Linked DNA regions of Lepisosteus oculatus. The protein of the gene in region 1 interacts with the protein of each later gene in a biochemical or structural test. Links are inferred from orthologs where the notes say so. Each region holds a gene or a part of one and is shown on either strand. Other genes may lie near its edges.

What was found.
Region 2: the proteins of ran-binding protein 3 (region 1) and rcc1 form a complex in vitro, tested with the Homo sapiens proteins (2 studies listed by BioGRID). The link is inferred for Lepisosteus oculatus from reciprocal best matches to the Homo sapiens genes RANBP3 and RCC1.
Region 3: the proteins of ran-binding protein 3 (region 1) and exportin-1 form a complex in vitro, tested with the Homo sapiens proteins (2 studies listed by BioGRID). The link is inferred for Lepisosteus oculatus from reciprocal best matches to the Homo sapiens genes RANBP3 and XPO1.

What each region holds. Positions count from the first base shown.
Region 1 is NC_090724.1:4,953,583-4,961,316, forward strand, and holds the start of ran-binding protein 3, read right to left. Parts: upstream 3,238-7,734; 5' UTR 3,223-3,237; coding exon 3,198-3,222; intron 2,613-3,197; coding exon 2,557-2,612; intron 2,334-2,556; coding exon 2,297-2,333; intron 2,183-2,296; coding exon 2,096-2,182; intron 1,244-2,095; coding exon 1,172-1,243; intron 484-1,171; coding exon 418-483; intron 16-417; coding exon 1-15. UniProt on the Homo sapiens protein: Acts as a cofactor for XPO1/CRM1-mediated nuclear export, perhaps as export complex scaffolding protein. Bound to XPO1/CRM1, stabilizes the XPO1/CRM1-cargo interaction. In the absence of Ran-bound GTP prevents binding of XPO1/CRM1 to the nuclear pore complex.
Region 2 is NC_090706.1:6,699,634-6,707,691, reverse strand, and holds the start of rcc1 (regulator of chromosome condensation), read right to left. Parts: upstream 3,647-8,058; 5' UTR 3,557-3,646; exon of another isoform or gene 3,552-3,556; intron 3,237-3,551; exon of another isoform or gene 3,140-3,236; intron 2,829-3,139; exon of another isoform or gene 2,650-2,828; intron 2,125-2,649; 5' UTR 2,111-2,124; coding exon 2,041-2,110; intron 974-2,040; coding exon 786-973; intron 125-785; coding exon 1-124. UniProt on the Homo sapiens protein: Guanine-nucleotide releasing factor that promotes the exchange of Ran-bound GDP by GTP, and thereby plays an important role in RAN-mediated functions in nuclear import and mitosis.
Region 3 is NC_090712.1:9,751,295-9,759,283, forward strand, and holds the start of exportin-1, read left to right. Parts: upstream 1-4,486; 5' UTR 4,487-5,029; coding exon 5,030-5,038; intron 5,039-5,046; exon of another isoform or gene 5,047-5,129; intron 5,130-6,145; coding exon 6,146-6,277; intron 6,278-6,923; coding exon 6,924-7,025; intron 7,026-7,989. UniProt on the Homo sapiens protein: Mediates the nuclear export of cellular proteins (cargos) bearing a leucine-rich nuclear export signal (NES) and of RNAs.

The DNA.
Region 1 (7,734 bases):
CACCTGAAAGATAACCTGCCAATAGCTTGGATCTCAAAACGATCAAAACACCACATAGTCTAGCCCTAATTTAGGTGATCTCAAACACAAGTTGAGAACTCTTTTTGAGGAAAGTTCCCATAAAAAGCATTCTGCCCAATCAAATAATTAAAGTCGTAATACAAGGAAAATACGCTAACATTAGCTTGAATTTTATTAATTTGCTCTCACATCTAGTCTAAAGACTGGAAAATCTAGTTTTAAGACTTTTCTCATGAATATGCATGAGATTATTTCCTTTTTTCCTGCATTTGCTGCAAATCCATCATGCAACCACGGACTTACAATAACCCAGGCAAAAAACAACACACACACAGCGGAAAAGGCTGCTAGCAGCTGCTAAATCCACTCGTGGACATAGCAGCAATGAATACCCACCTGCACTAGGGGCCTGTCCATGGATCAGGGTGGGCGGTTTCAGACGAAATCCAACAGTCTTCTCCTCTGCAAACAGATAAACACTTGCAAGTTAATGATCAGGGAATCAGGAAAAATGAGCCAGAGTAATTAATCTTTATCCTGGGGAGCTGAGTCCTTATTTACAAGAGTCTTGTTTTCTGCATATATAAATTGTAACTGCAAAACAATGTAGAAGACCCAGTTTGTTTTGCCAAAAAGTTTTGCAACTAATCTGGCCCAAGTCTGATAAAGCAGCCTGACCAGAAGAAAGGTTTTAATTTTAGTTAAGTGGGAAATGAAGTACAAATCATTCAAATATTACAATAAGACCAAACAGCAGGTAAAAAGCCAAGACTAAAAAAGTAAAGAAACACACCAGAGAAATAACTAACGCTATAACTCTAAAAAGAAATAGAGCTTAGACTCGTTACTTGACCTGACTGACCTGGCTGACTTGTCACAGCACAGCAATGAAGATTAAACTTAGTTCTGCATGAATAAACTGCCAAATGTTATAGGTTAAAAAAAAATATTTTGGAAAAATTTGACTAATGATTCTAAAACCTGACACCATTCTCTAAACGGAGAAAAAAAACAGGTTGTACAATGAAATGGTTCAACATAAAATACAAAAAAAACAAATATATTGGCTAAAAGCCTATGCTTAACCTTTCCAGAGTTCAATGCCATCTTACAAATCAGACCCACAGAGAGAACAGTTCAGTGAACTCACCAGGCTCAGAGTCTGAATTTCCAGTTGGGGACTGACAGAAACTTGAGGGCATAAACACATTGTTTTTGGATACTACAAAGAAAAATCAGCAACATATTACACGAGAGAACAAACAAGGCCAAGAAAAAAACAAATATCAGGAATAAATGATGGGATGAAGGCAATGGAAAAAAGTACTTCCTTGTGAACGATGATTATGCGAATGATCTTTGGAATGTATCAAATCACAAACAAAACAACAACAGTTCTGGCTTAAGAAATATTTCTAAGACTACTTACAGGGTCCACACAGGTCAGTACCTAGCAAGCATTTACAAATTATATACCTTATTTTAACAAATCAGAGTCTGAAATAACTAAAATACTCATTCTCTAGGAAGCAATTGAACATTTGGAAAAAATGCCCCATCCGGGTGTAAACCACCATTCCACAGATTTGTATAGTTCTATATACCAGTGCCTTTGGAGATGATGAATGAGTGTCAAGTGCTTCAGTGAAGACAGTAATTATGCAGCTGTCAATGCCATGTTTGGATGCAACCATCTCTAGATCACATCCTAGGAGGGCAGGGATGCCCACATATACATGAGACATGAGCCACATATAGAAATGTAAATGATAATTTGGGTTTTTGATTCTTCATGGTCACAATTATGCACCTTTCCTATAATTTTGGAGACTGAACATCTTTATGTTATGTATGCTTATGTATTCCATGTGTGCTTAGAAAATCTGCTATTTATACAATAGCTGTTTGCCTTCACATTCAAGGCATAAGGTTAACAAGGATAGAACCTCAAGCAGAATACACAAAATGCTAAAACCCCAATAAGCTCTTAGTGTCTCATACAAGCCAATTCAACAGAACTCACATCACGTTTACATACACATCTACCTTGCTCACAAGAAGCAGGGATAGTTACCAGAATGTGAGGGTGGAAACTGTGTTAAAGACGATGTTCTCTCGCGCTTCACAGGGGGACAATAAGCTCCATCGTCTTTGTCTGAATCTGAAACATTTAAGTACAAGTTGTTCTAAGTGTCCAGGAAACCACAATAAATTCATGAAGTGATACAGCATGTCTAGTTTTTCACCAAAACAAAAATTTCCGTTTTTAAGTCACCTTCACCATCTTCTGCACTGGATCCATCAGCTGATCTCTGAAATAAAAATAAGTCAACAAATTACATGTTTATTGTTCTCGCCTCCTGTCAAATGGCATTCAACTCCAAACTCTTACCATGATCAATATGGCACTACAAAATGGTTCAGTTATTAAACGGATTTCAGATCCCTTAACCTTTACTTTGTTTCTCATCCACTCAACACCGCCCCCCAGCTCCCAGAAGTGAAATAAATCAGCTCTGAAACTGGCTGGCTTACCTTCTGTGCTTTATCTTTCTGGAACACAAAGACAGGTGGAGCTATGGCAGGTTTCTCTATAAAACAAACAAAAAAAAAACTTGTGGTTTATGGACAGACTCTGATGCAGGCTCCAAAGAACTTCAGCGCACTGGCAAAACTACATTAAAACACTTCTGTGATGCATCCAGTCTACGTAATTGAAAGACAATACTAATATTCTTTGATTAGTAGTACTAGCATTTTGACTTTTGCGAACATCAGCACCCTCTAAGCTTAATTCTTGAAGAGTCCCTTTCAAATGTCACCATCACGCTATCAACATCCAGACATTCAGAGCTTTGAAACTGAAGCTCCCCAATGAAAATGAACTCATCACTGGCTCTATCAGAACTGCCCATCAACTTGTCCAATTGTCATGTAAAATGAATGCCTCTTATTTGTGCTTCTGAAATCCACAGTTTATACCAGGCAGAAAACACAGCTCCAACAGCTTGCTTCAATGGTTAAGAAATCCATCCCAGTAAATAATGCTTTAAAACGAAAACACTAATAAATCAGTCGTCAGACTGTTACTGGCAAAAGGTCATGAAACTTAACTCGGCCTCTTGTGCCCCAAATAACATGCAGCAAATAACAGTCTTGCTTTACTTAAACACTACCTGTCAAAGTGGCTTGGGGACACATAAGGAACGAAAGACCCTCTACCAGATGGCTGCAGAGATGTGAGAGAGACATCCAACAGAAACACAGCTGCTAGAATTTCCACTTGGACCTATTTATAGTCAACAACTTGGACATTTCTACATACTAAAACGCGTGACTTATTGCTTGGATTTCACTAGCCATATGCAGAGGTCTAGCTTCTTTTCTGCGCAGGCCAGAATTCCCTTCAATGCCACACCAGCAACACGAGAAGGCTGCAAATGAAGTTTTTCAAGTACAGCTTCTAGTCCTCTTTAAGATGAGTCTGGGGCTCTTAGTGATCTAGAGCTGAGCACTGGCCATGGGAAACAAAAGAGTAGTAAATGAGAAGCAAAAAAACTGGTTTCATAAACTTGGCCTGTACTTTCTGCTGGGTAACTCTGAAGGAGTGACTACCTTTAGTTCATCATAACCTGACAAATAAGAGGACTATTTACCCACCAGGTCACCTTCCCTCCTTTAAAAGCAGATTTACTTCAGCATGCTTCCCCACTGTCCCCTCCAGGCCAGCTTTTGCTTTGATACACAGATGTTAAATCAATTAGCAACACTGTTCCCGGATGAACACTTTCCTGATTTTTCATGTGGGTCACCAGGACCAGGATTGGGAACCCTTGGCCTAAAGAACCGACACCCACAGAGGTAAAACATACTGTTGGCCAACAATAACCAAAGAAACACTGATGTGAATTTCATAAATAGCAGCACAGCTTTTTTTTTCACTTCAGTTTCTTGGAATACAATTTAAATCTTTATTTTCCTACACCACGTCTGGTTTCAAAGGTGACCCATTTTTGTAGGATATGTTAAATTATATAAATCCTAAAAAAACAACAACAACAACAACAACAACAATAGGTACAAGGTAATTTGCTCTATAAAAGCCTTATAAATGAGAAGGTCCTGCCCATGGCAGCCCAATCCTAGTCCAGGACAGAGGTGTGTCTGCAGGTTTGCCAGCACCTGAACGGCTATGAAATTGGTCCAATTAAGCCAACAGGTCACTGAATCAGGACATTAAGTGCCGCACTGGTTTGAAAACCTGCAGAGACATCAGCCCTTCGGGACCCACGATTGGACAACCTTGAAGGAAGCCTGACAGCTAAGATAGCCTGAATAAGGATTTGGACTTTTACAGAAAGGCAATGTAAAAAAGGGGAGAGAACTCACTTGTATTTACACATTCTTGCAGAAAGAGGGCACTAGACCCAACACTGAGGTCAGCTGATATAAACACAGACCTGGGAGAAACAACTCTGCCAAACGTCGGTGTATTTTTAGCAGCATTAGAGAATAAGACTAAAAATATTGTCTATTTCTGTTAGCTGGTTCAAGAAAATAAGTATCTCACAAATTCAAAACTTGCATATAAAAATAACACAACTAATCTTATACATCTGGGTCCAAGTCAGATGTAGCAGCAACAGGAGTCAATTACACATAAGGCTAAATTTGTACCAAGCACATTGATACCAGACATTATCTGCTTTTGCTGGTCATGTGCACAGATCAGATGCTTAGCTACAGAACTATCCCATCCACTTTAAGCAGTGAATTAAGCCTGGGGGCTATTCTTTGCATATAATACAGCAAGCTGATTACACTATACAGATACTGAAATTATTTCTTGCTATACAGTATAAAAGGATAAAAAGTAAAAATGGTCATAATGGGGGAAAAAAGATGAGCCAGCCTAAGAAATTCGAAAAACATTAAGAATTTTAAGGAAACGTCTTTAAAGAAACAAATTCCATCAAGCTTCTGTAAAAAGATTTGAGATCTTCATAAATATGCTTGTGTTCATCAGGTAATCCTCTCACTGTCCTAATGCAAACCTGGCAAGATTTATAGTATTTAGATGGACATGTACACTGTAGAGAAGGAAATAATACTACGCCACAAAAGAAAAATACAATTTTATTTCACAAGAGCTTCTATAGAGCATGATTCTGATAAGGATTTGGTAACTATTCCCTTTCTGGACTTTTTTTGTGTTTCCAAGTACCAGTTCTGCTCTCCTGCACATCCTGTTCTCAGAAACAGGGGTGCTCCACAACAGGTGAAGTCCTACCTGTGCTGCACAGAGAGAAGCTCTGTCTTTTTTTAAACAGGTGTTGAATGTTTAACACCTTAATTTAATGTTAACACTATATTTAAAGACTCAGATGTTTTATGTAAATCTAATGCATGAATCATCTTTGCTGTCCCTAGGCCCCCTACACTCACCCTGCTCCTCAGCCATGCTGATTTGTGATCTCTAGCTCTGGGTTTTAACAGACTTATGAGCTGAGATGTTCACACGTACCTGCTAAAACATTAAAAGAAACATTACTATTATTTAAGAAAATCCACAAATCAAGATTTCCCTATTAGATTTAAGGCACTGTAACTCAATCAAAATAACTTGCAAACATCACATGATGATTAAACATTAAGTGCTATAAAGGTATAATATACAATCTCTCTGCTTTCTACCAACTAGTTTTAAGAACTTTGAAGGTCAAGTTGAGATCCATGGATCCAAAACACTACAGAAGCCTCATACAAAGCAATGGGAATTGGGATCACAGTGCTGAGAAGATTCCAATGTCTTGGACAATAGTTCTGACTGACTTCTTGAGTTACATTAGCCTCTATTCAAAGGACTAAGACTGTGACAAGTCTAGACAGCCCCTCCAACAGGGCAAGTACAGTACATGACATCCATCCTGTAATCACAGAACAGCTCACACTGCCAAGCTTCAGCCAACAGTACACAGAGCGTCATACCAGGGTATGAAGTACCATCAGAACTTCCTTGTCAAGACATTAAGGACCCTATAAACAGCAAATGATCAGGAGCCCTTTGTAAAGCAAGCAGAAAGCAGCATTAACAGTCTGCCCTCAAAACTTTATTCCTTCACACTCATCCCACCCACACACACCACCTATAGATAGTATAAGTACATGGAAAGCTTCACTATCTGGTCAGCAGAGAGAGCAACACTTTCACTTAAATTAAAACCCCATTTAATCACAGGAGAAAGGAATATCTTAGTTTTACTTTCAGTGAATGTCTGCATGCTTTAAAAACCCTAATTCCGAGTACTATGCAGGTGAGACCTATGCATTTAATTGAAGCAAAAATTAATTTTACTAAGAAGCAGATCTAGAATGTATATTTTAATCACATTTTAGTGACTTAACAGCTTATTTGCAAAACCTGCAATTGGTCAAATACTAAGTATCAAAGACCTTAGTCATTAAAAAACTCAAGAATGCAGAGCAAAACCTCTACATCCAAGAATTCTAGCTTTAAAAGTTGCACTGCTGCCCTCTAGCCCTCAGACCTTAGCACTACAGCATTTACACAAAAAAATATCAACATTGTGGTTACCAATCACCAGTCCTTGGGGAGCACAGCATCTGTTGGTTATTGTTCCAGCTAAGCTCCAATTCTCCAGTGCTAATTGATTAATGTAATTAACCTGCTTGCTTGTTTAGATTTTTTTTCCTTATTTTCTGAACTCATTCTTGATATTCAGAAATATCCTAATCCAAGGACAGTTTCCAATAACTTCAGCACACAGAATTTTAATGTCTGTGCCAAACTTGATTCCCCTTATTTCTGTCTAAATAGTTCTTATGATGAACACAAAAATGAAGGAATGCAAATACAGCAAATACTTACACAAGCTGATTCAGACAAACCACAATTATTTACCGGGTTCATACCAATTCCAGTTTCCATTCAACCTTCTGAGATTTGAAAGCAGATTTCAAAATATGCTCCAAATAGAAAACGAGAATCAATTAGCTTATGATTAAGAATTCAGCTGCTGAAAAAAAAGAGACACCGGTCCCCTAAGACCAGGAATGAGATACACTGCTATAATCTTTCTTCATAGTGAAAAGAACACCAGACATAACATATTATAGATGCAGACCTGCTTTCAGTAATTTAAAGACGGAGAGTACATATTTATATTTGACCTGCACACAGTCAAGCTTTAGACCAAATAGACCTGTAAGCATCTTTCAATTCTTGCTGTTAAAGCAAAATTAGGTGGTACTGAATATGAACACACTTTAGAATGCCTGAAAAAAAGTATCATTACTTGTTTATTAAACAGCTCTTTACAACTCTGGAACCGGATCAAGTGAAAACATCAAAAAGAAGGTGGTTCATCAGGGAGGCAAATATGAGTATAGATGTTATAATAATATTTGAGAATTAAATCAAATGCTTTCAAGCACTATAGTTTACAGGGGCCACGCCACTCCAGGACCACACTGACATTCCAGAGGCAGTAGGGTCTGGCATCTGATTTTAAAGTGATTGCTGGCTACAATAGCAAACATGCTAAAGAAGACAACCTCAAAAGGGTTATAACTGTGCAACTAGGTTAGAACCCAGGAGAGCTGCTTTTACTTTTTTTCCCTGCATGCAGTTTGTTTTGGTCAAACAGGATCAGATAAAAGTCATGCATTAGAAAGCATACTGTTGCCGACATA
Region 2 (8,058 bases), on another chromosome or scaffold:
TGTCTCCTGCAGACACCTGCACCACCTTCTCCTGCAGCTCCACCTTCCCCGGCCTCGTCTCCGAGCCCTCCTCCGACGTGTCCCGGCCCAGGGCCCCCTCGTCGTTGCAGCCAAAAGTGTAAATCTAGAAGCCAGACACAGAACAAGCTTACTCAGACCACGATATAGGACTTTCATATTGTGCCATGACAGTTGCAAATAATTACAAGCTTTTCTCTCTATAAGAGTGGCTTGCGGTTAGCGCACTGAGTTGTATGTTTTAAATCACTGGCACACTTTGTTTTAGTCAGGGCCGTAATATACCATGCTAAAGATCTGTTAAATAAACAAGGCCACTGTCAGGTTAATATATTATTTAAAATCTGCAATACTGGCATAATGGACAACTCTTTACACAAAGGGTTGCAGGAGCGTGGAACAAGCTGGCCTGCCGTGCTGCCAAATTCGATACTCTGTCGGGCTTCTTTCAAGAGAAACTGGATGAGATAATTGGATCAATTAGCTTCTTGCTACCAAATGGGCTGAAAGGGCTAATTGGCCTCCTCTTCCTCATGCTTGTTTGGCTCCTAAATAATAAGAATGGTACAATTAAAGGAAGGCTATCGGTCCCATCTTGTCTAAGAATAGTTTGCCCAGTGTTTCGTGTCCTTAAATTCCACTGGAGCCTACCCTTACACCACACTGAAGATCCTTTATTTTATTAGAAATATCTGCTGGGTAAAGAAACAAAGTTGTCATAAGGTTTTCAAGACTCATTAAAGGTGAGGGGGGTGGAAGTCACTCACATTTCCAGTGTCGCTGAGACACACCGTGTGCATCCCTCCAGCTTCGGCCTGCACTACACTCTCCGGCAGGGAGACCAGCGCCGGCCTTTTCCTCTCCATCACATCCTCGCCCAGCCCCAGCTGCCCAACGTCCCCCTGCCCCAGCACCAGCACCTGCCCCGCCTGCTTCCCATGGGAGCCGTGGGACACTGTGGGAGGAGGGAACAGCTGGGATTATGCGACACGTCAGAGCAAGCACATGGTCAAGTGAATGCGCCTGGAAATCTGCCAAAGCAACTTTGCGCAAGGTTCTGCTAAAGAGCGGCAGGTAAATAAAATGCATGTCAGGCTTGTGCTGCAGACTATGAATTCTTCTTAGAAAAATGTAAATTCCCACAGGATACCGACTGATGCCCTCACATAGGTGCTTTAGAGTCCTTCAATGCAGACTTAACCAATTGAGGAATTCCGTGCAATGAGGGGTTAGGTGCAAAACGAAGTGATAATGTGAAATTATAGGAGCTTGGAGTGATTGTGGAAGGGAGTAAACTCACAGGTTCTGGTTATCTGTGCGGATTCCTGTAGGAGTGGTACATAAGGACTATGTATAGGTTGATGTCATTTGTGTAATGTTATATCTATTTTAATCTAATGCTTATTAAACATAGTTTTTGTATGTTTTTTGCAAACAAATCAGAAATAAGGTATAACTGTATTGTATATGAATGAGGAAAACACTTATAGTGTCATTCAAATACACCAGGCTTCTCATTTCGGTCAAGATCCTCAAGTTCAACTTGTCCTAATTATAGGTGAATACTGTTGGTATTAGTCTGACATTAACACTCACTGATCTAGAATTGGGCAACACAGGACATGCATGAATCGGAGCTTTAAGCAAACCAGTATGCTTATATGGGGCGCTATACTTCAGTCATGCACACATTAGCCCCAGATTTTACTTGATGTGAAGTTTACATCATATTTGGGATGCAAACATAAATACAACTACTTTACTGACTGCAAAAAACACCCAACAGAAGAATCGGATCATAAAGTAGAAGGAAAGAACTCTGAAAATGCTAACTTGTTTACAATAAAAGAACTCCTAATGGAATGCCTCCTCTGAAGATGTGTAGTTTTCCCGATGTACAGAAACCAGCAGTAATTAATAAACACCATTTTACAGCCAGAACTCTTCCCAATGCTTTTCAGCAGCCCCAGCATGAGAGGGCTACTATAGGTCAGAGAGACCACTGGACACTCAATGACCTACCTTTTACTTTCTTGGAGGGCTTGACTTCCACTGATGGGCTGGGCCTCTTTGCAGCCTTTTTTCCAGGCATGTTGGTCTCTTCTACTGTTAGAGGAGACAAACAGAAAATCAAACGTACAGGCCTTATACAGATCTTAACATGCAGTGCACACAGATATCACGACTTTGGCTACATATGTTAAGCAATATAGAGGCAGATATTACCGCTTGTCACAGGTAGTATAGGACCACTGCAGAATATTTGTATTTATGTCTCTGGACCATAGAACGCACGCCACTTAGTAAATATAGCTACAACTGATGTCCAACACCGACACACCATGCCACGTCATTGTAAAGAGATCCAACGACCAACAGGCGTAGACATTTTGATACTATTGATAATTAAAAGGAAACCCTTAAGTCAAAAACAATCATAACTTACTGAAAGGAGCTGTATATAAACGCGCCTACACCGCGATTACGCAGAATCATTCAGTTATCATGCAGCACCGAGAAGCTCAATTAAAGCAACTGCTGCTGTCTACGCGCATGGCCTTTGGTAAACATGCAAAAAGCTTTTTTAGGACTTGCAAACTAGCAAGTCGACAGAAAAACAACGTCACTCACAATGTTTCAGGGGTGGCGACGATAAAGAAAGTCCTAGCAACTGGACGAAAAATAGAGGTAAAGAGCATTAAATGCAATAAATCCCTTATCGCTACGAGGGGATAACCTCCTTAAATGCACATGAACTACAGCTGCCGGTGCAGCGATCCACGCGTTTGCAACAGATCTTCTGATTAAAAAAAAAATGACTGACAGGGGCTGATGCACGAAGTCCAGGAAGACCACAAAACAAAAACTGCTCTGTTCCCGTTGCAGATGCATAGGCTCAGAGCCTTATTTTAGGAAATGCATTTTTAAAGCATGGCGGTACTCGCTCCCAGTCATTCATTTCCTGGTTCACGGTGTTTTCGCGACCCGCTATTTTTTTTTTAAAAGGCCACGCGGAGCCATCCAGGTTTAACCAGGTCTCCCACACAACCCCATCATTTTTTTTTTACACACCGCAGTGCTCTACGAAACATTCATCTACTCTTAACATGTAATACGTTACCATTACTTTCAAGTCTGGCAGGATTACCACGAAGGGCAAATACATATTGAATAACTTTATTGGCACAATTTGAGCACACGTACAGGATAAGGTACTTTTAAAGTAACGTGCACAGAAAACCATGCGCAAACATAAAAAGCCTTTTATAAAGTTATAATATATCTAACCAAAAAGACTTTTAAAATAAAAGACACAAAGCCTTTTTGTCCCCCCGCTGGATACCGACAATTAAAAAAAAAACAGAAGTCATAAGAAACCGAGCCAATAAAATGTTCTGGAATTGTCTGTTCGCTATTTAAGTCGCGAATTTCGACTTTGACCGTCGGATATCACAGTTTATCTACAACCTTTCAGCTGTATTCACTAAAAAATACTGCGAGAATAACAGTAACGCGCTAGTTTATTGCCATACTTTACCACAGCCGAGAGTGTCCTGTTGTTAAGTTGAAAACCACACAATTTCCACTCTCCCTCTCCATGCGGCTGCTCCTGCCTGCCCTCTTAAAGGGACAGACACCTCTCCTTACAGCTCCTACACCGTCTCTGACGTTTTGGGGGGAAATGTTTGTTCATCAGGTGCTCCACACAGGTAAAAATGTAGATACATACTTATACTCTAAAGCCTAGCATATCTGCTGATTGGTGACAATCAATGGGTACAATCGCAGATAGAAAAACAAACAACGTTTATAAAATGTATACTAAGGATTTTAGATGGGATTATATATAGACGTACAGTGCCTTTTATAGAATATTGGATACAGTTATGGCCACAAAATATTTTCCTTTAGAATGAGTAACTAGGTACATTTCTGTGTTAACGGGGATGTACTGACAGGTTAAAAGAAGCAAATCATTTTAGTTGTGAACAGAAAAGGCTAAGGGTGGTGACCTGATTCTAACCTGATTTGGATTATTATATATCATTCTGTGTCCACTACACAAGAAAGACATTGGTGTTTTGAGATAAGTTAACAGAAAAACAACAGAGATATTTTTTCCTCTGACGGAACAATGCCACGTTGTGTTATGCCTGTCTTCTTTAACTTAACAATTGCACACTTCCCTAAATTTTGGGGGGGGAAGCGAACGGATAAAAAAGGATAAAAACAGCTCGTTTCTTATTGACACCAGCTACTCCCATTGGGGATGAAACAGTCAAATCAATAAATCAAAAAGAATGAAACAAAGTGATCTTTAATTCTTTCCCCTTGGTCAATGTTCACACAAGTCCTAAATTATGCAGTGTTACTAAGAATGTCTTCAGAACGATATGGTGAAGGTTAAGTCGGAGTGCCATCTCATTTAACTTTCACACGATGTACTCTTTCAAATGCACATGCGACACGGCGCTATTCACACCAGAATTTGGGTAAACAAAACCAAACCCGAATATCGCATGCAGAGATCACTCAAAGACACCCAATTCCCTTTCTGGGAAACAGTAAGGGGGCCAGGAACTGCGAGACAACTGTCTGCTGACAACCCACACCTTTCAACAGCTTTTAGCCAATCTTAGCAGATCCGTTCAGTTAAAAAGTTAAAGAAATCACTTAAATATTTCGTAGCACGAAAGAGGAAAAACACAAAACAGTGGAAAACAATTGCCACCCGTGATTGTCCTGAACAAAAAGATGTTAGACCCACTTAAATATAATTGGGATGATAAGCTTTTTGTCCCCTACTGTATATCTTGCCGCCAGATGGTAGCAAAGCTACAAGATTAGAATTGGCGGAACAACTGAAAACTCAGCTGTCGAGAGAAAGGGAATAAATCATTTTCACTTTCGGAGCTTTTCATCTTTCTCGCTTTTTAGAAAGGGCCAATTCATACAGCCCCAGTATGCATCTAACCCGTCTAGTTTCAATAAATGCTACAAAACCACGCGTCGCTCGCCTTTCAAAGCCAAGTGTTGGGCATATTATACGCAGCAGACAAATCTTTGTATTTTAGCTCAATTGACAGGTACACTGCACGAATCATTTGGTCGTCAATCGTTGATGTGGGAGGGCCATTGAAGACGCTGAACGTTTTTAGCCGCAAAAAAATAAATAAAAATCGCCTTGCAGCTCAGAAACGGACAAAAACAAATCGAGGGATTGTTTCAGGAGGAGTAACGATGTAAAAACCGAAATCAGGTTTGGGAGAATTCAGAGCACAAGACGGCAGACGGGTTTGTAAACTAGACAGCCCTAAGAGTCTCCTCTAGTTGGCAATGTTTGTATTCTTACACAGATGACTGTATGAGCCTGAAGCCAGCTCCTAGCCATGGCAGTGAAGTTGATTGTGAGGCCGTTTAAGAAACTGTTGGAATTTCTATCGGGTACATGACAACTCACTGAGATCAGGAGTTTTTCTTGCTGCTCTACTTTGATCTCTTTCTAAGGTTCCTTTTTTATGGTAACAGCTACCATGCCTGTACACAATATTCGAAACGAGTCTCTGTTAAATCTTGAGTACGATTGTCCTCTTAAACTCCACTGCTGTTAAGCCTCAACGATGTTTGGGGTTTTTTTTCTATTGCTTTGCTGCATTGGTTTGACGTGGACATTAAAGATGACTTTAAAAATGTGCATTTTTTTTACATTTATACAATTTATATTAGTATCCCCTAATCTTTATTTCAAATTAATCAATCAATCAAATTAGACAATCTGACTATTTTAAAGTGGTTAAGAAAGCTGATCAATTTAACTAGATGGCTGAACTGACATTTCATTTAAAATTCAATTTAAATAAAAAAAATAGAACCACATACCCTTTCCCAAAAGTTTAATTGACCTCATTATTTAACAAACATACCCTTGTTTAAAAAGGTTGCCTGTACATTAAAATCAGTTTTACAGCTGCATGATTTAGAGAGATTTTTTGGAATATGAAAGGACTAACGGGCTCTTTTCTATAAAATGAAGCTGAATGAATACGCAGTTAACTGTTCATTAGTCCATATGGAATCATTCAGACAAAGGACCAAGCATCCAAGAGGCGTCAGTTTTCACCAGCTATAACATTATACATCGGATCCCGTTCGCTTCAGCTGTTTCTTTACCCGTGTTGATAAACATGCACAATTACGAAGTATGTGGCCGCACTTTGCTTTTGATTATTTTCATAAGAGCTCCAAACTTCCCTCCGTTTTGAAGATGTTCAGACATGAACATATTCTCTCTATATACAAGAGTCTGTTGAGGTTTTCACAGTCGAGCCAATAAAATGAGCTCGTTTTTAAAAATATATCTACTAAAGGTATATTGAAAGAAGTTCAGTGGAGGACTATACTACAACAAATGAGACCAAGCAGTTACCCTCCCAACACACTTTTTAAAATCGAAACAAAAATGATTTAAAGCTGTGCTGAAAACGAGAATTCTTTTTGTCCTTTGAAAGTAATTTCTTGCTCTTTTATCTTGTATTTCAACGGTTATTTCCCCATCAATTACCCTTCGTCAATTAAATCCACTATTTGAAATAACCTGGCATTTTCCTATTTACTTTGTATTAACGGGTTTTATGGGCTGTCAATACACTGTAACTGTACAGTCATTCAGTGAATTCAATTTCTGCCACTATCGCTTCGTGCGACATCATTTTCTCATCTCCCACGGTGTCTTCAAAGCTGGGAATTTAGTTTGTAATTTTTGCAGAGCACATGGCAATCTTTTGAAGGTGTTAATTTATGCATTTGTTCTTGGACCCATAAGATAGGAGTCATCAGGCATACAAGAGGAGCCAAAAAAAGCATGCTCTATTTCCTAAAAACTTTTCTTTGCTCTTTTAAGAAATGCCATCAGTTCTTAAATGGTAAAGAAACGATGCTTGGAAAGAGGCATTCATATCATTGACCACACGGCGAAACCGCATATACCACACTTATCTTTAAATAAGAAAATTTGTATGAACAGTAGAAAAATGTGCCATTTTTACAACAAAAGTCCCGATGACCACGGCTGCCACACTTGGTATATAAGTACTATGATGTCTTTTCCTAATTACCTCTTGGTCATTTCCTCCTTTTAGGCTCGTATTCTGGGTTATAAATACCCAAAGGAGCAGAACTCATTTACGGAAGAAAAATAATATTCTGCCTTAAGGGCCCTGTATGTGCAGCTTCATAAGCCAACCAGCCGAATCCCAAGGGACTGGGTAGTGGAATACCGAGACTTTTACGAGAGAAAGCAGAACTTACCTAAAGGTTGATACAAGGTATAAGGCTAAGCTGTTCTTGGGGTTTAGGGCAAGTGGTAAAAGTATTGCTTTAGTGGTCACATGCTGGTTACGTTGCTGTGTTCTTTAACTGCTTTTTCCCCATCATTGATCATGCTTGGTTACTGAACTGGTGGTGGGTTCTAGGTTTGTTTGCTTGTTAATTGTGCACGCTTTGTGTACTGCAAAAGCCCTTTACTATGGCGTGTAAAGATTAACATTCTGCAACCATTTATCTTCTGTCACTGTGTTTCTAATTGTAAGCTATCTATATTCTACTCTATTCTCCGCATTCTAACAGAGACTGCACGTAATAGTCTCTTTTATAGTTTATTAATGCACAACACTTTGTGAAGAATGCATTGCCTGAAAGGCACTGTTGAAAATGGATTCATATCAAATAGACAACATGGACTTAATCCAGCAGAGTCTGTAGAAAACCTTAGCCCGACAGCATGATCAATCCCCCCCCCAAAACATATCCTCATACATAAGAAATATAAGACAAAAGAGACACTTTTCTATAAGCTTTTAATTTGATTCTGCAGTGGCTGTTAATTGCTAATTAGAGAGGTGCAGATATCAACTGCCTAAATTCCATAGCATTTCTTTACAAAAATTATACATCTGTAAAATAAAACAGGTGTTTTTATATACCAGTCCTTGTAGTGTTGCTGAACCACCAACCATTCTGTCATTAAGAAAAACAATGAAA
Region 3 (7,989 bases), on another chromosome or scaffold:
TCTGCCTCTCCCCAGCAAAGTGAGGTAGTAATGTATTCTCCCAGGGCATTGGCATCATCCTGGGCCTGTTCAGGCTGCCTTTCTGCAGTGGCATCTGAGCTACTCTACACTCTTTAGCAAGGTTCCCCAGCTCTGACAGGCATTGTCCATGGGACCAGTGGTGCCTGAAATTGTTTAGGATGACCAGTTCCATGCTGCACCTGTGAATTACTGTCACTGGCAAGGTCACCCTTGCTAGATTGCTGCTACAATAATGGCCACCACTACTTACACTTTCACTAAAGGGAAAGATCAGTTAGGTCTTGGCTCCCTGAAACTGAAAAGTGGCCTTGGGCCAGAGAGGCTGCTTAAGTAACCCTATGTGGATTCATAAGCGAAAAAGATTGATTTGTGGGAAATTGCATGGTTATGGCCTCCGGGAGGATTGGGAAGCTGCCATTTCTCCCTACAGCAGCTTTGATATACATGCTCAGCCTACCTCGTGCCCTGCAGGCAGTATAGCACTTGACATTTTCTCTTTCAGAGAACAGGCGTCACATCTGTAACTGCATAATTTAAGGAACCTGAGGTACTGACCTCACCATCATAGAAAACCAAATGTTCATTTGTGTAAATTGCCTAAATGGACCACACAGAAGGAATCGTGACCTCTATACGAGACAAAAAGCAACACCTCCAAGTGTAGGGCCATACTTCTCTGCGATCTAAAGGACGGAATCTGAGGCTTTGTTCCACCACAGCTGGGAAAGTACCCACCTGTGTCAGAAATACATTAGCTGTAGTTTACTGTGGACATATAGTGCTGAAATTTCAAATCATATATGTGTTAACAAATTGCTATAGAATCTGCAGGCTACATGATGACACAAATATTTAAAACCCGGGTCTGTCTTTGTGGCAGCTCTGAAAGGGAATCTTGTACCTGCTGGCTGGCTGATAAAGGCCACTAGCACTTATAGACACACAGGGCGATAATTAGCTGATTAATTTCATTATTGGTGATTGGTGTGATTGGTATATAGAGGAGTTTGTTAGAATTTGGTGTTTGACAATAGTTTAGATTTTATGTTATAAAGCCCTTCAAAGTGCAGTATTTCTAAGTATTCAGATTCCTTGAGGCAACATATTAAAAGGTGAGGGTCTGTTGCAGTCTTCTACATCCAGTCCTGTGGAAAAACCTTGATCTGCCATATAAATTAGCTTGCTCTTTGACCTCTATGTTGAGATTTTACATTCTTCACCTACTGGAAGAAAAATATTCATTTTCTTTTATTTTGTTTCCCCCAGGTTTCTGAAGTTTCTTTCCTGGCTGATGAGAGAGTGAAATGAAGCAAACTGAATTATGGTTTAGGAGTTTTCAAAATGCCCAGAAACACGCTTTCAGCACCCAGATCATTAAACTACTGTAGTTACAGTACATTCCCTGTTTTTGCCATTGTTTCTTTGTTACACACCCTGCTAAGTTTTAAGTCAGACCCTGTATTTTGGTTATTAAAATGCTTATTTAAATTTCCTGGAAAGCAGGTTAACCTGTTCTTCAGGTAAGGAAGACTTTCTTGTTATATTACATAAGCCAGGAGAGAAATGGTGGTTTTGTAAGACTGACATTCTCAAACATGTAGGTATGCTTCACAGTTGCTTGACAACATACTGCACTGTGTGCAGGTTGCTCTTTATTGGTGTTGAGCCTGTTGATCAGTGCATTGTACTGTAGGTCAGGAACTTCTGTAGGCCTTCCTTGAGTTTAAACTGGTTTTAAAAGGAATATCCAGGGACAATTTATAAAAGATATGGATTAACAAAAGGTATTTATCAGTATCTGCACATCGCTTTACTATTATAAGGTGCCTTTTCCTAAATATGAACAAGATGAAGGGCTCTAAAGAGTCCTTTACATCAGACAGCAGACTGATGGAATGGTGGGACTCATGTAATAGCTCATTTATTCATGTAATGCAGGCTTCACTGAAGCACAGAGAAGCCAAAATTAGGAGGAGAAATATTGCTGCATACTTAAGCCTCACATCCAATGCCCTTGATACATCAAGTACAGTATCAGACTCAATTACTGTATCCTTCAATAAATCTTGATTCTCACATTTTTTATGTTGCATGCAGCAATCTTTCCAGATGTAACAATATTTGAATGTCCCTCTGCCTGTGCTGAGAGCTACATGTGCAGTGGAAATTTCCAAGCCAGGGGAGGATAGTGTGCTTTGATTGCTTTAATGTTTAATGACTTTGGGACATGTTTACATTTTGTTAGCAAACTCAGTCATTTGTTAAATTGGGGCAGCAACATACCTATGGCCACCACTTTGCTATACCACTGGAGACTTTTAAAAAAATAACCATTCCTGCTTTTGCTCAGAGGGCATGAAAGCAGCATGCAGTTTCTTTTAGTAGCATAATCTTGTGCTGTGTACAATTACAAAGACATCTGTATACTGTATCAGGAATGTAGGTTGCTCTGAGTTTCACATTTTGAGTCTAGAGTGCCAAATTCATCTCTGCTAATGTCCGACATTATATAATGAAAAACGGGATATCTACCCCTCACGTTTATTTATCGTGGACTTAAACGCATAAACCGAATATTAACTCAGTATGCTTTGCATAATGAGCATTATCTACTCAACTGATTGATATAACCACATCAAAACAGCAAAAGCCAACTTGTGAAACATCGTTGAATTTTTGGTTGCTCTTTTGTTCAATAAATGCATAGAAAAAAAGCCTTTTAAATGTCAAATAATGATACTCTCACTTGGATCACGTGCATTTAATTTCTTTCAGAAAATCTGCACAGCAGTTTACTCGGGCGCAAAACAGTACTTGAAACAGCCCTAAAAATGCGAGAACAAAATCTCACATTTTAAGTCCTTCACTGCAAGGTCTGGAAACCTCGTGTCAAAATGCGCGAATTCTATCAAGTACAACCCTGAATTATCTGAAATATAAACCGAGCATTTACAGGAAGGTTGTCACCCGTCTAACATCAACTAAAACCTCTTCAAAGCGCGAATCGCACACGGTAAGAGAGTGATGCACTGTCCAGAAACCGCACTTTGCATTGCGATTTCTGCAAGCTCTACGGTGCTCCTCCAGACAGTCCTGTATTTTTCCATCGACCGCTGCGCTCGATCAGACGCACGTGACCTGTCAACAAATTGCAGGCTGAACTCTCAATAAAAACCCTTTAACTTCTGGAAAATATTCTAAGTTTGCGACGTTTGTTAAACTATATATATATACGCTCACATTCGCTATGTGCACGCTCAGCACGCTGTCTCTCCTTTGTTTCGTTATTTTAGCTGACACCATGCGCGCATCATGCCCTCTGTTACTACACAACCACTCCCCTCAAAGCTAGTGGAAAATTACCAGGTTAGAGGAGACCGAGGAAAAAGAAACCAACTTCTCCAATCGCGCAGCGGCTCTCTAATCTGCTTGTTCGCGCACGATTTTCGGAAGGCCGCAACGCCGATATCACAATCCGTAACCTTACAAATATTTTAGACACCGCATGGGCACCCAAAAATTGTTTTTTTTAATTTATTATATCCAGCACCGTGGAAGATGCAAGTTTCCAGACGTCAATCAAGTGTTTTGAGCCAATCATGGCCGCACCTGGCAACTTGCAGATTCATTGTAACTCAGACGCGCACCAGGCTCCAACCAGATTGACAGGGCGATTTGACCAGTCAAAACTCAGATTGCAGGGGCTTCGTTCCGCCGTGATCCTGCCTTCTTTTTCGGCTCAAGGGCGGAGCGGTGGCGTGGGCGCCCGTAAGAATTGAAATAGACTGACGCGGGAATTGGCCAATAGGAAAATAGTTCAGCCGTCGCTAAAGTCCGCTCAGCCAATGGGCGGGGGGCATGGGCGTGACGTTGGTCCAAACTTTCCGCGGCGCCATCGGCTGAAAACTAAACCGAGATGGAATCTCCCAGTCTGAACCGGTTTCAACCGGTTATGAGTTTGTTGCTTGAGAGCAGAAGAAGCGCAGAGCTTACAGTCTCTTAAACCGCCCCGCTGCATAAAACATTTCAGAGAATAGAACAAAACTGTAATCTGGAGAGTATTTTGTTTCGTAAAATGAACCGGAATAACAAATTACTTAGCGTGCCGTGAATATTGCAGGAGAACCCACATAAGTGGTTCTTAATCTCAGTACTCATTCTGTGGAATAGTGTATAGAAATTCTTACCACGGTATTTAATCATTTTTCTAGATTCTCTGGCTAGAAAGCCACACGTATTTCAGTCTAAGCCTTGGATTTAGCGATTTACCAGGTAATTGTGGTTTTTCTGTGCCAGTCACTGAAAATATTGGGTTCACAAATTTGCAGAATAATAAAAAGAAACTTACTGTAATTCACTGGTGGAATTAAAAACCAAAAGGAGGGGACAGTGATTTAAAACGTAGGTAAGTAAACGGTGCATAGGTAAGGCTTTTCAGGATTGTGAGAGGGGGTTCTGTGTGACATTAAAACTCATGGTGGTGCGTACAGCGATAGTGGAGAGTGGAGGCCTGTTGAGAAATTGAATGAAAGTAAATCCAACCACTCAGAGCGCTCGCCAGCGGACGCAGTGGAGCAGACGCCTTTGCCGTGTTGTTAGCGGAGAAAAAATGGAAAAGCCAGAGTGCGAAGGAAAGAAATTGTAGAAAATGTGAGATGGAAGCGAGGTGCAATTGAGGGGAAGTTTCTAGAAATGTTTTTTTTTTCCCCGAACAGTAGCGAATCGACTATGTGAGTCACGTGCTCAGCCTCCGCTGCCTCAGAGGGAGGGGTTGCTCTTAGTGCGTAAAAAATGATGTAAACAGAAGGAAATTAAAGACGATTTGGTGACAGTTTGATATTTTTTATTTGTATATGCGCGTAGACGGGGTACGCTTTCTCAGCTACTTGTAAGGACAAAGGGTTTTTTTTCTTTCAGGCCTTAAAGAAAAGGATGTTTCAAGTACCGAGCAGAACTACAGGCATTAGCTGGGAGTTGCACCAGTACTCCTTTTAGATATCCTCCAATAATGCCTGAGGTGTGTTTGTGTGGGAGAAAGAAAAAATAAAATTTAAAATGAGCAAAACGGTCCAGCATCATTCATTTTTTATGATGAAATTACAGGGAAGGTAAATGTTAGTTTAGCTTTCTTTTTGCTTAGATCAATGACCAGCCTGTCTTAACACTTGTGCATGCGGTCATAGCATATAAATCAGGCCCCGTGTAACGTGCCTGCCTTCTGAAGTGGCTAGATCTCCGCATGGTTTTAGTGAAATTTAAGACTGAAAGTGCCATCTAAATAACAATTATAGCTAATCCTTTTAATACCGCGCTTCCTTGAAAATTTTTTGCATTAGTGGCAGGAATTACCAATATCAGTAGACGCCAACATTGACGTTCTCTTGTAACAGTGGTGGATTGCTAAACGTGCGTTGCTTGAGCAGGCGTGCTTAGCAGGTGGGATACTGTTCAGTTTTGCTTTCGGAAAGGGCGGGTAAACTGGGTGTAGACGGGTCGGAGGTCTTGTGGGTGTTGTTGTTGGTTTAGAAGAAAACTGCCTGGTCCTGTTTGAAAGTGCTCTTGCATAGTGCTTCAATAACCGAAGTATGCTTGTTGTAAGGTTGTCCGCTGCGTTTGCCCAGTTCAGGCTCTGCTAGTAAACGTATTGGGAAGCGCCCCAAGTCCCGTGCCCACGCTTACCTGTAGTCTGTTTTCATCATAGACTCACTCCCCAGCCCGCCACCTACTTTCAGGTGTAGACTGATATCGATTAACATGTTTTGTTGTGGCCTTATTGATCTCCTTTGTTACAAACGTGCCCTAGATATTCCATTCTGTATAGACGAATGCCAAAGAGTTACGCCTATGTGACTTGTATGCAGTTTTTGATCTGGAGGGTCGTTAAAAAATTCCAAGAAGCTTCCTATATTCTATACTACGTGGTTTAGTTTTAAGATTAAACAGTCCAGTGAAGTGTCAAAGAGCTTATTTGAAGTTCTGAGATGTGTACTGTACTACGAATTCAGTTACATGCAGCTCTGTTTTGTCCTGAAAGACCTTCGGGCCAACAGCTGTTTGGAATTGTGTGCCTTAATCACTGTTCAATTCACATGACTTTGCCTGTTGGAATCTTTTTCTGTTGCAGTACTCTATGCCAGCAATTATGACAATGTTAGCAGACCATGCAGCTCGCCAGCTGCTGGATTTCAGCCAGAAACTGGATATCAACCTATTGGACAGTGTGGTGAATTGTTTGTACCATGGTGAAGGGCCACAGGTAAAAATGAATGATAAAACATTCTTAAATTAATGCATTACTTTTTTTTACATTTAAATGCTATGTAAAAGCTTGATCTGTAAAGCATCTTATTTTTAATCAATTTTGCAGTTGTGAAGAAGTTTAATAGTGCAGTATTCAGAATTAACATCTCATGCAACATTACTTCTAATATGCATTCCTAAAATAAATTTAGTATTGATAGCTTTGCTTGAACCTAAGCTTTCAATAACCAAATTACTTGATGGATTATACGATTTATAATAAAACAAATCTTTAAAAGGAGAGTGTGCCAGCACCGGTCCACGAGGCTGCACGTAAACAGTTTTAATAAGGTCTCTACATATTATCTTAAGAACTAGAAAAAGGCAATTTGGCCCCATTGAGCTATTTATAAATGAGGAAAATTTGAGAATTAGTTGGTACAAGGATTGATAAATCTGGGAGTCCTCAAAAGTGGGATTTGGCGACCTCTGGTGTGGAAAGAGAATAGGCTGTTTTTCAGGTTAACCTGAGGCCTGTAGTCTTATTGACCTGCTTTGAGTGGACTTTTTCCTTATTGAAGCTAAGACCAACATCTCTAATGCTGTATTTAGTTACTCTTCTATCAGCTCACTTCACTTGAAATCATCTGTTACTTTAATAGCAAAGAATGGCACAAGAGGTGTTGACCCATTTGAAAGAACATCCAGATGCTTGGACAAGAGTCGACACTATTTTGGAGTTTTCCCAAAATATGAACACCAAGGTAAGCAAGACTTGGAATAATTACAGGAAGGACTGAACATCTGTACTTTGAGGAAGTCATAGACGAGTGCTGTGGTTTCAAACTCCATTAGGTTGAAAACTAAATTTTTATTTTGATTATATCAGCTAAGCAAGTGTTCTGCTTGTATTGTGGACTAAGCTTCCTGCTAGTTTGCTCTGGTTTTGTGTTCATGAAATGGTAACACAAATGTGCTTGTATATTTGGTTCAGGCCTAGCTTTCAAAGCTTTTCTATCTGCTCAACCATTTCAGTTAAAGTCAACACAGCATACTGCTTACAGTAAAATAACATTGCTTGGCATGCATTATTCATTTAAGAGTTTGACCTTTAATAGTTTAAAATGTCAGTCCTTTATAGTATTTCGAAATTTCAGTTATTCCAAAGCTTAATTGGTGAAATTCTCAGTAATCAGTTGTAATTGTTACCTGAATCTGTACTAATGCGTATCTATATACCCAAGTATATACATATGTATTTTAGTAAGGTTTTCTGTTTGGGTGAACTACGTGTAAGCTATTTTAGTGTATAAAAAGACTTCCTCAAAGTTATGGTACATGACAGTTTGCCTTTTTTTGCTTGCCTGTAAAATTGCTCTTTAATACTGACAGACATTACTAATGTTTGAGTTGATTTGTCAACAGTATTTTAATACACAAATTTGTAACTTGCGAAAATTGAGGTCATTAGCGGAACAGAAAGAAAACAAAAGGTAAACATTTCTTAAATTTGTCTAAATTTTTTATAGTGCATCGATTTAGCACTAAGACATTTGGCTTTTAATTATTTAATTTTTTATACAAGCTGTTACTATTTGATATTAATCTTAATGTTCCATTATGTTGATTGCTTGTAATAGGAAGAAAAGGGGTGTCTTCCTGTGCAACTGACACAGCTAGGCTTTGACGGCAGGCCTCCACAAGGTCTACCCTTTTGATTCCCTTTAA